2 linked regions of the Neurospora crassa OR74A genome follow. The protein of the gene in region 1 interacts with the protein of each later gene in a biochemical or structural test. Links are inferred from orthologs where the notes say so. Each region holds a gene or a part of one and is shown in the gene's direction. Other genes may lie near its edges.

Region 1 (7,868 bases):
GTCAGTCAGTCGTCCGGTCGCAGAGATGGATGTTTTCTGGTAGCACACGACGCGACATCCAGACGGACTGGCCTCGATTCGTTCGAAAAGGGCGTTTCTGCTGCAGGGACGTGCCGGTTCGAATTGGGCTGTCGGTCAGAGAGCTTGATTAGATCCAGCCAATCAGCGCCGGTGAGGGTGGAAGTGCACGAGCCATCCTCAGCAGTGGATCTGAAGCTCCCCCTCCCCCTTGTCTTGCCCAACTTCCATGCAGATCACTTCAGCGATATCGCGGGGCTAGCTTCACTTTACAAGAGCACATGTTGAAGGGACACTTTGCAAAAAGAAGTATGATAGTTGTAGTGTAATGCTCATGTCTATGGCATTGAGATATGGTGTATCTTATCTCTCTTTAGTCCGTCGGTTGACTTTTCACTTGTGCTTCATCGGGGTGCTCCCGCTTACAAGTTCCATTTCCGAGACTTCAGCAGGTCCTTCATCCTCAAAAAGGACGAATTTAATGATGTTGAACCTCGGCTCGTCAGTTTGTCTGTGTTGGGCCTTCTGAACAGGTGATTATGAGTTGTTAGCTTGGCTCGGCTTGCGCACCGTGATACATTGCTCCGCAAAATCCCCCGAAGGTCTCACGATGGGAAACAGCCCAGCCTGGTGTGTTGCCCTAGTGATGCCCGGGACGGGAGCAAATAAACATTGCCCCTGTTCAGCCTCGGTAGCACCGAACGACGATTACAAGCCATATCTTATGGTAACCGCGACTTTCAGAAACGGTATCCTGGCGCAATGAAAGCATCACGGAATCATGCCCTTAACGCTCATCCGCTTGCCATCTCAGGACCTAGCCCAACTTGACCTTTCCAAAGTAGAATCCCCTGCCCCCATTACTCAACCAGCACTCTTCTTCATCAACCAGCGAGTTTGCCCGTACAACCTGCTCAACCGCAATTCCCCTACCCAGGCGCGCCGTTAGCAGAACTGCCCAATAATAATCATCTCATCTCAAAGCAGGAGAAACGCACCTTTCCAAAGCCCATCTCCTCGTAGTTCCCGCATTTCCACCACTTCCCCAATCCCCTTCTGTCTCTCCCTCACCTTCCCCAACCGGCGGTGTCACCCATCTCCCGTCTCTCCAAAAGTACGGCGTGGCAATACTCCCTTCCATCACCTCCCCATCCTCGCTAACAATCAACACCTCCTTCCGATCCGTCAACGCGATCCCGTGCCTCTTTCTCGCTTCGTCGTAGATTTGGCGCTTCGTAGTCTTAAAGTGCGTGTATGCTGACTTTTTGGACCTTTGGGTGTCGACTAGGACCTCGAACGGCGTCGAGGTTCCCATCAGGCATAGACTAGGGATATTGGTACCCGGCTGGGGAAGGGAATTTGGGAAGAAGTTGGCTGTTGAAGGGACTTGTGGTGCTGGTGAGATGGTGATGCCTAGCTCTCCCTTCTCAGAGACGGTTACACGGATGCGGTTTGGGTGAGATCGCTGCTCGTCGGAGAGGGAGGAGAAAATGAAGGAGGAGAGCGTTTCGAGACCGCTGTCACCGGAGAGGAGAGAGACTACGGCGGGCCATTTGAAGTGAGTGGCGGCGCGCAGGATGCGATCGCGATGGTAAGGAAGCATGTACAATGGAGCGAACGGGGAGGATTCAGTGGGAGAGACGAAGCCGGGAAGCAGGAGAGGGTCGTAACGCAGGGTGGTGAAGAGGAGGAGGGGAGCTTCTGTCGTGGTCGCCATTGTGAGGGTGCCTGTCTTTGAAGGTTACCTAGATGGAGGAACAGCATAGACTCGATGGATTAGAGACTCCGAAGAGTGAAGGTGAATGGTGAAGAATACGATATCCGTAATGTATTATCTGTTTTATATGACATGCAATCCAGCTTGCTGACTCATTGCTCTCTGTGGTCGTTTCATGGGGAATATAATGTATAAAATCTATCAGCTTAGGTTTCCTCATACCTGATGGGCCCGATAAATCAACAATCCTTCGCGCCGACATGACCGATGATTGGTAAAAGAAGCCGCCGGTGATGGCAGGAATGAAACATGTAACAAAAAGATACAGACGGATGTATAAACTGAAATCACTGCAGTCCACGAGTCAAGTTCTGTCACAGTTGCATCAAAGACGGCAGCGACAAGGTCTGGACGGGATGACACTGCCCTGATGGTCGAATGGCGGGGCGTTCAACTTTAAAGTGGAACCACCCAAGCTGCCCTGATCCGCTTTTGCTTGACGTACATAAGCGAAGCTTACCCCACCGTGTGCGGTCATTCTTGGCGTTTATTCCATTTCCCCTCGGCTGAGTTGAGAGATATCTCAGCTACGAACGTTGATGAACTTGGGTTAATGGTGGTTGGAGTTATCTGAAATAGAGTATTCTCAGGGCTTATCTAGTCTGTGATAGTAGACAATGTAGAAGTCTTCATTCTTGTTATAAACTTCGACCTCCGTTGTTCCGAAAATCCAAGGGAAAGGGGAATGGATGTTCAGCTCCGAGTAGTCCATGTGTAAACCAACAGTGCTGAGCTGTAAACAGAGGGGATTCAGGCACCAGCTGCCCTGACAAGGCTTGGCAATAGCAGCTTGAAGGAGCTCAGACCACGTCAGCTTTGGAGGTCAACACTGTCTATTTACATCCCATTAGGCCTTAGTTCATGATATGTAATACCGTAGAGGTATGTATGGTAGTTTGTTTGCCGGTTGCCCAGCCGCCAGCCGCACTGCCGCCCGCGTCAAAACAACTTTTTTTTTTTTTTTTTTTTTCTCGCACGACGAAGATCTCGGAGCTTGAGCCCCAGCAGACAGACATTCATACGTCTGCCCATCCACCGACGCCATCGAGCAATTACCAAGCTTGAGGATTCCATTTGCTACTACCTTTTTCAGTGACTGTGCGCGTACCTGTGGACTTATTGTGGACTGCGCTGCCGTGTGCCAAGAGGGAAAACCTGTAGAGGAGTGAAGGAGTACCCCGGGCCCAACCTTGAAGTCCAGTTACGTTGCCGTGGGCTGTGGCCGCCGCCCGCCGCGCTATCCAAGTCCGGGTCCGACCCTTGCGAACGAACCCGCATCATCCACTCAAAAAAATAGAGGAACTTCACTTGGCTTGTTACTTACTGCAATTGAAGCAGTTGCCGGAATCTGTCTCTGAACTTGCCGCCGCCGCCGCCGTCCCTTCGTCTCCTCGATTACCTAGCCTTGCCATTCGGTCGTCTCTCTGCCGACTCCGATCTAGTATATACCCTGATTGTTTACCTTATCTACTAGAGGTTCTCCTACACCCATCACCACATAATAACCATGGCTCCCACCATCCCGCCGCCCTCCGTCCCCATCCCGGCGGCCACGCCCGTCACTGTCCCGGCCGACTCGTCCATCTGGGACCGCGTCTCCAACTGGGTCTCGGAGCACAAGGCTGTTGTCTACACCATTGCTGGTGTTTCCGTCGTCATCACCACCGCCGGTGTTGTCTACTATCTCCGCAAGGGATCAGTACGTTGCATCCTTCTCCCGCGCATCTTCCCGCGTCCCGCGTCTCGCTGCTGCCCTGCGCCCTGCCCAGCTGCATGAGGTCTTCTCGTTTACTAACGTTTGCGCCCACTCCCCCCAGGAGCAGAAGGAGTCCGGCCCCAAGCTCAGCAAGAAGGAAAGGAGGAAACGGAAGCAGGCCGAGAAGGGGGAGGCCGAGAAGGCTTCTACTTCCAAGACAGAAGAGGCCGCTCCCACACAACCCAAGGCCGCCGCCGTCGAGAGCGCCGACGAGCTGCCCGAGATCGATGAGGAATCCGTCGTCAGGCTATCCGAGGACGAGCGCAAGGCGTACGCCGCCAAGCTGAAGGAGCTCGGAAACAAGGCCTACGGTTCCAAGGACTTCAACAAGGCCATCGACCTTTACTCCAAGGCCATCATCTGCAAGCCCGACCCCGTCTACTACTCCAACCGCGCCGCTTGCCACAATGCCCTCGCCCAGTGGGAGCAGGTTGTCGCCGATACCACCGCCGCTCTCAAGCTCGACCCCCACTACGTCAAGGCCCTGAACCGCCGTGCCAATGCCTACGACCAGCTTAGCCGCTACAGCGACGCTCTCCTCGACTTCACTGCCAGCTGCATCATCGACGGCTTCCGCAACGAGCAGAGCGCCCAGGCCGTCGAGCGCCTCCTCAAGAAGTTCGCCGAGAACAAGGCCAAGGAAATCCTCGAGACAAAGCCTCCCAAGCTCCCCAGCTCCACCTTTGTTGGCAACTACCTCCAGAGCTTCCGCTCCAAGCCCCGCCCCGAGGGTCTCGAGGACTCTGTTGAGCTCTCCGAGGAGACCGGTCTTGGTCAGCTGCAGCTTGGCTTGAAGCACTTGGAGAGCAAGACTGGTACTGGTTATGAGGAGGGCTCCGCCGCCTTCAAGAAGGCCCTCGACCTCGGCGAGCTCGGTCCTCATGAGGCTCTTGCCTACAACCTCCGTGGTACCTTCCACTGCCTCATGGGCAAGCACGAGGAGGCTCTCGCCGATCTCAGCAAGTCCATCGAGCTCGACCCTGCCATGACCCAGAGCTACATCAAGCGTGCTAGCATGAACCTTGAGCTCGGTAAGTCTTTGTCTTCAACTGTTAACTTGGACCTGTGCTAACCCCTTTTATAGGTCACCCCGACAAGGCCGAGGAGGACTTCAACAAGGCCATTGAGCAGAACGCCGAGGACCCTGATATCTACTACCACCGCGCCCAGCTCCACTTCATCAAGGGGGAGTTCGCCGAGGCTGCTAAGGATTACCAGAAGTCCATCGATCTCGACTCCGACTTCATCTTCTCCCACATCCAGCTTGGTGTCACCCAGTACAAGATGGGCTCCATTGCCTCTTCCATGGCCACCTTCCGCCGCTGCATGAAGAACTTCGACCAGACCCCCGATGTCTACAACTACTATGGCGAGCTTCTTCTCGACCAGAACAAATTCCAGGAAGCCATTGAGAAGTTCGATACCGCGATCGCCCTCGAGAAGGAGACCAAGCCCATGTGCATGAACGTTCTCCCCCTCATTAACAAGGCTCTTGCCCTCTTCCAGTGGAAGCAGGATTATGCCGAAGCTGAGCAGCTCTGCGAGAAGGCCCTCATCAGTAAGATAGCCCCCATTTCAAACCAAATTATCATATCTTGTGTGCTAACATGAATGATTCCAGTCGACCCCGAGTGCGACATTGCCGTCGCCACCATGGCCCAGCTCCTCCTCCAGCAGGGCAAGGTCGTCGAGGCCCTCAAGTTCTTTGAGCGTGCCGCCGAGCTCGCCCGCACCGAAGGCGAACTTGTTAACGCCCTTTCCTACGCCGAGGCCACGAGGACACAGATCCAGGTACAGGAGAACTACCCCGAGCTGGCCAGCAAGCTCCAGGGCATGAGCGGTGGTCCCGGCATGCGGTAAAAGCATGTCAAGATTACTCTAGCAGCATAAAAAAGGAAGAGAAATAAAGAAAGCGATGAAGTTTTGAAACGAAGTAGAAAAGCAGTGTGTTGTACATTAAAAAGGGTTCATTTTTGGTTGTTGCTACTGCTGTAACGGTGTAAGGAGATTGAGGATGTCTGTTGGCGGTAAGGAGACGCGGGAATGGATGGATGGTGTTTTACATAGGTTGGCCTGGATGGGATAGGATGTAATGCTTTTTTTTTAATACTTCTCTCTCTTCTCCCTCTCTCTCTGTCTCTCGATTCCACACGACCTCATCACTACACATCACGATCATCGTCATCATCATCACCATCAATCCATTATCATCATACATCATGTTATGTCATGTTACGCTTCGGGGGTCAAATTGGCATTTGATTTTGGTTGAATATGGAGTTGATTTCAATGCTCTTCTCTCTATCTGCTTTTATGGGCCAACTCTACAGATGGGGAGTTCGGTATGTTCGTAATTATATGACGAATTAGTATGTTGTATATACTCACCTTGGAGTTGTAGTAAACGAGCTTAAATACGCTGAACAACACAAAACAAACGAGAATGAAGATGAAGATGAAAATGAAACATGGGTATCGATAAAAACCAACGTGGGACATCCGTACGGGGTGATTTCTCGGGGCCTCCTCCGAGTCACCTTTCATATTAAAAGTTAGACTCAAATTCTAAGCAACCCCAGAAACAGCCAATCTCAACACCCCCCCACCCCCAAAATAAAAAGAGAAAATTTTTAAAGAAAAAAAAAAACCCTTAGAAACAAGCCCAACCACCGATTCCCGGCGTCTCTTCTTTTTTTTTTTTCTCTCTTTTTTCTTTAGGTCTTTCCCACTCTCCAACTACCTGCTATTCTTCGAAATCCCAGCCACTTACTTTACTGACGATACATGCCCTCCCTCCTCTACACAGGTAAGATCAAGATCCGGCACAAACCCACCCACCATCGTTTCGCTGACCCTTTCTTTTCCAATACGTACGTACGTACGTAGATCACTTTTCTTTTTACCACCTACCTACCATATATCTCACTTAAGCCCTCGCAACTCGCAACTCGCAACTTGTTCAAGAGCAGCAAGCAGCAAGCCAGCCTGTGGAGCACTCAGTTCATGAAGGAGCAAAAGAGTTCTCAATAAAGAGAGAGGATTACCTAGATAGTTAGGTACATAGGTACATGTTAGATAATATATGTATATGTATGGTTAGTAGGTTGTTGTTGTTGTTGTTGTTAGGTAGACAACCAGCTCCTTCTCACTGTTCTTCGGAGATTTGTATAAGGACTTTTTTTTTTTTTTTTTTTTTTTTTTTTTTTTTTTTTTTTTTTCGGGGTTTAGGATGTTTTGGGGCTGGGTGACACTGAAAGTGAAAGTGATGGGTGAAGTGGTAGGTGAAGTGACCGGGTGAACAACTTCGAGAGAGCTTTAGGAAAATTGGAGAAAAAAAAGTGAAATCTGGAAAGAGTGGTTGTGAGAAGGTTTTAAGGAGATGGGGAGAGTGTGATTGAAGTGAAGAAGTGACTAAGTAAACAGATGAACTGTGAGTGAAGAGTCAGTGGTACAAGAGTCAGGTTAGTATACAACCAACAGTCAGTAGTCCATTTAAGCTTTACTTGAGATCATATAAGCTCACTCACTACGTAGAGCTGAGCCGTGGAACTCTCTGTTTCGGTTTCAACAGGAGCGAGTGTGGGTCGTTGCGTTTATATCGGGTTCTATTGTTTTTCTTTCGCTCCAGTCATACACAACGTCGAAACTGCAAACCGAAATGAAAACGACCCATCCGGAGTTAAAAAAAGAGTAATTACTAATGTAAACAAGTTTTGCACCACAAAACCAAACGGGGGGGAGTATAACATGAAGAAGCTGAGCCGTAGCACACCTCAAGAAGAAACATGAAAAAAAAGAAACCCTCGATCCGTCCATCCGTCATCCACCGTCCCATCCGTCCATCCATGCGTCGTTCGTGATTATTACGTCCCGGGGTGTGTTGTCCTGAAACAGTTCGTTCGCGTAAAACATGCTTTGCTGACATATCAACCCGTATGAATATCATATATATCCGTTTCCACTCCCCTCTTTCCTTCTCCTTTCTCTTCTCTCATGGGTATTTGTTGTGTACGTGTCGAGTTTGGTAGGAGCCATTACCAGCCCGCACTGTAAGATCTCTGTTCTCCAGCCACCGTAGCATTCCAACTTAGTCCTTGAGACGGAGGAACATAAGCGTGATTACCTCCGCCTGAAGGCACTGGCGCTGGAACAACCGTTGGGAGCGGCACAGGTACCGGAACCAATGGAGGAATAACCGGCACCGGAGGGATCACCTGCGCCTGCGACTGTGACTGCTGTTGCGCCTCCTGCTGCTGCTGCGACGGCGGCGGCGTGGCCCCTTTTAAGCCACCAGCCTCATCTGCGTCTGAACCTCCC
Region 2 (7,924 bases), about 3.1 Mb from region 1:
TCCGTTTGACGCCAAAAACAGAAAAAATTGACTTGCCCAGTCATCGCGGCATGCTGCTTGGCACTGAGGGTGTCTGTTCTGCCAGACTCCATATGCTGGTGATCACCGCGTGGCGAGGACAAGCAGACTCAAACAAAAAAAAACCCGGGGTTGAAACAAGGGCTAAATCACCTCGGCTTTCTTTGACAGCAAGGCTCAAAATCAGATATCCGCTCGACATGACACAGAACCGATACATCCTCCAGAACATCCGGTGCGCAACTTCTGTTGAGGGGAGTATGGACGACAACAAGGACGCGGTTCTGCAACATACGAGCTAGTATGCTCCCAAGCTCGGCATGTCTGGGCGGGCGCGATGTCTCGCAGACGTCGAAGAGTCGATCTGGCAGTGACGGTAGCAGGTTTACTATTATGAGCATCAGAACTGGCTTACAGTTGAATGGATGACACTCACGCGAGCAGGTAAGCGCCGCCGCTCAATAATTTGGCATACCCTTGGCCGTGGCACTTCCAGATGCCAAAAGCAACTCGCTTGACGGTGTGTCTGCCGCAGAGAGTGCTGTAGTGGAGGGTTGAGGGCCATACAATTTCTACCGCTGAGTAGGAAGAATTCCCACCGGACCTGAGAGAACAACCTCATCAACGAGATGGAAGCAGAATGGGGTAACAAATTAAGGATAGCGAGCATGCTGGCCGACCTCAACTCGCTTGCGCTGCTTTCTCAGAGAGGAGCCATAGCTGGAGCAATAACCATTTATCAAGCTTCTTCCGGAGAGGAGTAAAATGAGAAGGCTCTTCAGATCAAGAAACCTATGGCCTTACCAGCTGCCATATCTGCCGGAAGATCCGACCTCTGTCGGGGGGTCAGTCAAGCGATTCTTCCAGGCATAGTAAGAGTGCTACATACTGCCTGCGTGCTTTACCAACTGGATGATTCTGTTACCAACCACAGCTGACGTGCAAGCACGCTCGGTTCAGTCAAGCAACGGAAGGCGAGAACCTAATGTGTTCGATGCTGGCGAGCGAGGAGCAACGGCTACGACCTCGAAATATAGTAGAGATCAATAGATATTAAGCAATCGACTGAACGGACAGAGGGGATTAGGTCACATTCTGCTTCTGGGTGACTTAGGGAGAAAACAACCCGGAACCTGTCAGGTCCGACCTTTATTCAGTCCGACAAAAGACACAGGTCGGAAGGGGAAGGCGGGAAGAGCACTTACTTGCATAGTTCTCATTTGGGAAAGAACATTCCCAGGTGTGGTGTCAGTACATAGGTAGGTTCCATATACTACCTAGTCTGGATCAATACTGGGTTTTTTCGAGGCCACAGCATTTAACGCTGGGACTTGGGCTTCACAAAAAGGGGAAATCAAAGTCAAGGGGTGCGTGGAAAGTTTTTATACCTAATCAGTCTACAGACCAACCCCGCATCGGCGTTGTTGTATCTCGAGGTAGACCAGCTTCATCAACGACAGACCCTTGTTCCTTTTCGAGCGTGTACACTAATATGTCGTTGGGGAGTCTACATAGTTTGAACCATGGAGAATGTATCGGGATCTGTGCACAAGAAGACGGCCGGCCGATCGATCGGCAATGCTTGTTTGAATGTTGTCGTTTCCCGGCGCCGGGCCGTGCCCCCACATACAATAATACTCCGCACTTGGCTGTTTCGATCTTCCGGGACGGGAGGGAATGCCACTGACCTTGGCACACCTGGTAAACCTCCACAACTAGTGACATTGAGCAAAGAGAACTACAATTGAAACTGCTCCTGTCTGCCCAATTGGCAAGATGTTGAGAGCGCTTACCGTACTCTCTTTGCTCTTTTCTAAACCTCTACAACCATCAGGAGGTCTCAACATCACCATCCTTCAACCTGACGTACCCTTCGTCCCTCACCCCCACCCTCTTCCCGGCGCGGCGTCCGACTCAAAAGAGATTATTCGTCAGTTTGTAGAGCTTGATCGTTCAACGAAATGGAAACTTGTTGATAAGGTTCAGTTCGAAGGCGACACCTATGAGCCCGAAGGAATAGTTCGCATCGGCAATGACCGCTACTTCGTGTCGGCTGGTGAATACATTGTGCCGACGGTCAAATACAATGAGACCATCAACGGCACGGATCGCACAGCTGGCGAAGGGTTTGCCCATATGATCATCTTCGATGGCAAAGGGAAGCGTATTGCTGATGCCTCAATCTCACAAGCCAAGTCTCTCGAGGTCTGTCCGTCCGTTGCGCAGCCCGTTCTCAACAATCTTACCGCGGCTGACAGCACAAGTAGTACCACAACGGCGGCATTGACTACGATGGAACCTACATCTGGGCCACCCTCTCCCAGTATCGTCCCAACACAACTGGAACGCTTGTGAGGATGCGCCCCGACACGCTGGTACCAGAGCCCATCTTGAGCGTTGCAGACCACCAGGGAGGAGCGGTCCACGACACAAAGTCCGGAACTGTAGTCACCTTGAACTGGGGGTCGCGCAAAGCGTCGATCTGGAACGGGCACGACAAGCATCTGGCGCCCGCCAAGTTCACTCAGCCGCGGGCAGTGGTCAGGAATCCGAGCAGCTTCATTGACTATCAGGATTGCAAATTCCTGGGTCGTTACGAGCTTTACGAGACCCGGCCAGTGATGTTATGCTCTGGCGTTGCAGACTTGGCGAACACGAGAATCGGCGGTATCGCGATAGTGGACATGGAAACTATGGTTCCTTTACACGAGGTTCCTGTGACCTTGGTGTCGGAACATGGTGCTGCAATGACCAAGAATCCAATGGATGTGGCTGTCGTGGACGGTAAGATGAGGCTGTTCTTCCTGCCCGATGAAAGGAATTCGACTCTCTATGTGTACGAAGCGGTTTGAGTTAGGACATACCGAGCAACGTGGATTATTCTTCTCGGTGTTTGTTTTGGCGTGTTTTTGCACCTTTTTTTTTTTTTTTTTTTTGCCTTCGTCAGGGGTCATCAGAGCAGGTCAACCGGGCTTATTTGGAAAGTCATGACAGTAGGCCTCAGGTCTAACTTGTTCTAGATCTGCTCTGTACCGTCGTGATTCGAGAAATAGAGTCCCGCTTTGCTTCTCCTTGGTGGTTGATGACACATATTTGACGAACTAGTTTAATCCTTCATATGGAGAAGTTCTTGAAGACATGCTTTGACTTTGATCTGCTCCTGACTACAAGTTCTATGGTGAGCTATCCAGGCCTCATTTGTGTGGAGTTGTCGCGGATTTTCCTTATCATGGGGCTGTCATTAAAAGATCGAGTGCGGCCGTTGCTTGCTGTTGGCTTCCATGAGGTTGTGCAACCTTCTTCGTTGCCTTGTAATAAGGCACAATGTAAGGATGATTGATTGGAATCGCGATCATGATTTACGGCAATCCATCCTGTTTCATCGATGCGAGTGAGTACCAGAAGAATGGGATTGCGGGCGAATGGGTATACTGGTATGACGAACTGAGCTGGATCTAACTTTCAAATATCTGGTGATGTGCAGCCCATCGAAGGTGCTGGGTGATGATGTTCATCTTTGATAGGTGCTCCGGACGCGTCCCAACCGCTCAGCAGACTGCTAGCACAGTTTCGCTGAGGTCAAGCGAAGGTCAACTACTTAATGGAGCTTCCCTTCCTGCTAGCTGGCTTGGCGGCCCGCATCAGTTAGTGGGGACTTGGCCTGGACTTACATTGTTAGTATTACTCTTTCCCTGCAGCAGCAAACTGCTCGGGGACATGAAGATTACTAACAGGCGCTACTTTTAGCATGTACCCACTACGCGAGCCCTGCGTCACTATCTCCAGGTCTTGGAAGCCGATAGGCTCACGGTCGAAGGTTCTACAACCTCCTGTTCCTGCTACACACGCCCTTCGCCAAGGCATTTTATGGCCTTGTCCCTCCCTCTTCCACCAAGTGATAGCTTCCTCTCCGACTCTGTGTTGCATCTCAATTCTGTTCAATATCTGAAATCCCTACTCTTGCATTGCGAATTTGCTCTCGCGCATTCCATCAAGATCGACTTTGACAGGCGCTTTACGAGCCATCCAAAGGACCCACGAGCGCTATAGAATCGCTAACGTCTAATACGCATCTGTCATCGCTACCTCACTCTACCTTAATTACCCTACCCGTACCACTACAACAACACAGAACACGTCGGGTTAATTGTTCTCCCTTGCACCTAACGACCGCCGAGACACTTCGCGGCTCTGATCAAGCTTCGCGAAACAGCCTCTACATTTTTACTAGACTCACATACACTACACTCGTCTCTAATATTGCGTCACAAAGATGGTCAAGGAAACGAAGCTCTACGACCTGCTAGGGATCAGCCCTACGGCTACCCAGGACGAGATCAAGAAAGCCTACAGGTGAGCATATCTCCAACCCGAAACCCCACATAACTGCTCTCGCATCTCGCAGTATAAGATCGAGGGAGAGATCTCCTCTTTCCTACGCCATCCTTCTTTCACTTTGGCATTCACATCATCCTCTCTTACAGCCTTCAGTGGACCCCTGCTGACCCCTCACCAGGAAAGCCGCCCTAAAATGGCACCCCGACAAGAACAAGGACAACCCGGAGGCTGCCGAAAAATTCAAGGAGTGCTCTCAGGCGTATGAAATCCTTTCGGATCCCGAGAAACGCAAGATGTACGATCAGTTCGGCCTTGAATTTATCCTGAGAGGCGGCCCGCCCCCGACTGAGGGCGGCGCAAACCCATTTGCCGGAGCTGGTGGCATGCCCGAGGGCTTTGCTTCTTTCTTTGGAGGAGGAGGCATGCCTGGTGGCGGAGGAGGTGCGAGAACATTTTCCTATGGATTCAATTTTACCAACCCCGAGGACCTCTTCCGGGATGCTTTCCGGGATGAAAAGATGGGCGGCGGCATGGGTGGTGGCATGGGTGGTGGCATGGGCGGAATGGGTTTTGAAGACATCCTCTTTAATGCTGCGCGTGGTGGTGCAGGACAGCGCCGAACTGCGAGAAACCCCTTCGGCGGCGCCGACAACATGCGCAGCGCCCGCCAAGCAACACCCGAAGTCACGACAGTTGAACGCCCCTTACCCGTATCCCTTGAGGATCTGTTCCACGGCACGACGAAGAAAATGAAGATCAAGCGCAAGACCTTTGACGAGACCGGTAAGCGCACGACGAGCGATACCGTCTTGGAGGTACCAATCAAGCCCGGCCTCAAGAAGGGTAGCAAAATCCGGTTCAAGGGTGTTGGTGATCAAGAAGAGGGTGGCCAGCAGGATTTGGTGTTCGTCGTCGAAGAGGTACGTATAAACTCCCTTCCCTTTCTTCACGCATTGCCTTTTTGAAGGAATGGCCAGCTGACAATGTGGTTTTAGAAACCACATCCGCTTTTCACTCGGGACGGCAACGACCTAATTCATACTATCGACTTAGACCTCAAGGAGGCATTGACAGGGTGGAAGAGAACCATCACGACGATCGACGGCAAGAGCATTAACATTGAGAAGGCCGGCCCGACACAACCTGGGAGCCAAGATGTATATCCGGGCCTGGGCATGCCCATCTCGAAGCAACCAGGCCAACGGGGCAACCTCATCGTCAAGTATAATGTCAAGTTCCCCACCAGCTTGACGCCTGAACAAAAGGAAAAACTGAAGGAAATCCTCTAAATGGGGTCAAGCGATGAGTATCGGTTCTCTGTGGTAGTTCACTCTCGGATACCTTTGTCCTTCTTGTCGCCTCAACAGGAAGGGACCAGCAGTCTTGGATTGGCCTGAAGAACAGCTTTTAACGCCGGCCTTTGACAACATTCGGGAACCTGTTCGGATCCACCCCCTTGAGTGTATGTAGAATGGTGGGCGTGTTGGATTTGTTTTTTACCCGGGGGGCATTTGCTTTGGTCTCTGTCCGCCATGTGCGGTTCTTGACCATGGTCCACCATATTTGGGCGTTACTGGATTTGTTTCTTCTTTTGGTGCTCAGCTTTCATCGCGTCAGGCTCGCATTGAGATTGGTATTGTTGGTTTAGGCGGCATGTGTGGTGGGAGCTGATGATGACAATTTTCATGATAATGAGTATCCCCGACAAAAGTTCTTAGGCCCCCTGTTGTGAATGTTGGGAGAGGAAAGGGCGCTGGTCTCTCTTAGCATGTTGCGTCCTCTCAAGGTTCAACAATAGCCAGAGACACGCGAGGCCAACGTCAATGGGAATACCATAGCAGGCTTAGATATCAAATGGCTATATCTTTTATAGAAGACGGCTTGGACTACTGCATCTCGGAATGGATTCAAGGTGACAATCCTCGGTCACCACCACCAAACGACACACACGAGGAGAAAATTGATCGTGACCATAGACTACCAAGCGGGGTGGCTAGAACCGATAGATGGACATAGTTACTACAGAATGAAAATCAATGTGCCCAGAAAATCTCTCCCTTTCTCGACTTGACCTTGGAGAGAAACCATAACTTGCTGAAAGACGACGCGGAGCGACATGTGGGAATATGTGCAAGTTCCAGCTACAACAAGTTGGCCAAATAAACACACAGTCGTGTACGTATCTTAGGGGGGGAAGCCACGGCGGGGCCGAATCCAACTGCGAAGAACGATGATTCAACTTGTCCACTTTTCACTTCATCTTGGCTCTCATCACGGGATTTTTGAAAGTACAAACAAGAGGGACAACGACATTGTTAGGTCGGCCCGTCTACCTACCCAACAGCCATTCCAACACCCCGCCAAGCCAAGGATTACATATAACCGGCTGGCTGGTCGATCGGGAAACGCGGCATAATGGGAGAATGAGCGGAAGCGGAAGTGACCACTCGGTCTTACCTTTCCCGCGTTGTCGCTTACCTATACTGCTTTCTGTTTCATTTGTTTTTCTTTTTTTTCTTTTTGGGACTCGGATGGCTGTTCTACTGCTGACTTGATCATCATTTTGGTGCTGATCTCAATGGGGGGTCATGGAAGCATCTCTACGGTTAGATATTTTTGTTATTGGACAAAAGATTTGCAGGGTCCGGGTCCAAGGTTTCTGTGAGGTTCTGGATTCGGATTTTTGAATCGAGCGCTTTCACCTGTTTTCGGTTTTGTTGCTGTGTTGTTCTTCGCGAAGATGGTTCGACCGAGGCCTGTCCTTGGCTGCACGATGTTCTTGGTCTCATTGATGATGATAGTTAGATAACTAGCTATCACTCTCACAATCACTTAGTGCTACTGTTAACAAGTTAGAGTTCCTTTAGCGTACTTCCCGGGCCCCGCTCTATGTCACGGTGGGGCTTCTGTCCAATGACATCACCGGGTGCCCCACTACCACTAGTGTACTCTGACGCCGATCAACATCCTGTCTGGAGAAGGCATCCGTCTGCACGTTTCCTCAGGAAAAGAAAGGTGTACGAGAGGGGGTGCTAGGTGCTCAGGGTGATGTGAGGGGTCAGAGCAACATTCAGAAAGTGATGGAGAAGATCGATCGAATCCCGTCTCGAAGGTTCAGCAGTTCTGGTGGTTTGTCAGTGTGGTCCCCGAGCGCCGAGCGCGGCAGTGATGTGTGATGTGGTGAGGTGGGGTTTCAGGAACGGACCTCGTAACCGTGGTCAAGACCGGCGATGCACGAGTCCGTCCTGTCCTGTCCTGTCCATTGGTCCCAGGGGTCCTTCTTTTTGTTATTGTTCTGTGCCTTGGACTTTGGTATGTGTAGTGGGTTAGGAAAAGAGACCGGGAAGTAGGTAATATCCACATGTTAGGGATTCAGTAAGTAGAGAGAGGTAGCTCTTTTCTCGCTTACCTTACGTAGGTACTTCAAGCTTCTTTCTCCCGCTCTTTCCTTCCTCTTATTTACTCCTTCATCCTCTTATCTTCTCTTCCTCCCTACAAAACGGCTATTATTTCCACCTCTAACCTACCGCACTCACCCTCGCTCTCTATCCTCGCCTCTTAGCAGACG

Evidence for each region.
Region 2: the proteins of tom70 (region 1) and NCU03732 form a complex in vitro, tested with the Saccharomyces cerevisiae proteins (2 studies listed by BioGRID). The link is inferred for Neurospora crassa OR74A from reciprocal best matches to the Saccharomyces cerevisiae genes TOM70 and SIS1.

The regions. Positions count from the first base shown.
Region 1 is NC_026505.1:5,338,097-5,345,964, reverse strand, and holds tom70 (outer mitochondrial membrane translocase), read left to right. Parts: upstream 1-2,783; 5' UTR 2,784-3,302; coding exon 3,303-3,494; intron 3,495-3,612; coding exon 3,613-4,582; intron 4,583-4,635; coding exon 4,636-5,109; intron 5,110-5,172; coding exon 5,173-5,411; 3' UTR 5,412-6,017; downstream 6,018-7,868. Other genes in the region: NCU04246 (hypothetical protein), read right to left, coding at 836-947, 1,017-1,735. UniProt on the Saccharomyces cerevisiae protein: Component of the TOM (translocase of outer membrane) receptor complex responsible for the recognition and translocation of cytosolically synthesized mitochondrial preproteins.
Region 2 is NC_026505.1:2,237,374-2,245,297, reverse strand, and holds NCU03732 (SIS1), read left to right. Parts: upstream 1-3,856; 5' UTR 3,857-4,291; coding exon 4,292-4,371; intron 4,372-4,534; coding exon 4,535-5,276; intron 5,277-5,351; coding exon 5,352-5,645; 3' UTR 5,646-6,404; downstream 6,405-7,924. Other genes in the region: NCU03733 (hypothetical protein), read left to right, coding at 1,795-2,223, 2,286-2,870. UniProt on the Saccharomyces cerevisiae protein: Required for nuclear migration during mitosis. It is required for the normal initiation of translation. Might mediate the dissociation of a specific protein complex of the translation machinery. Essential for viability.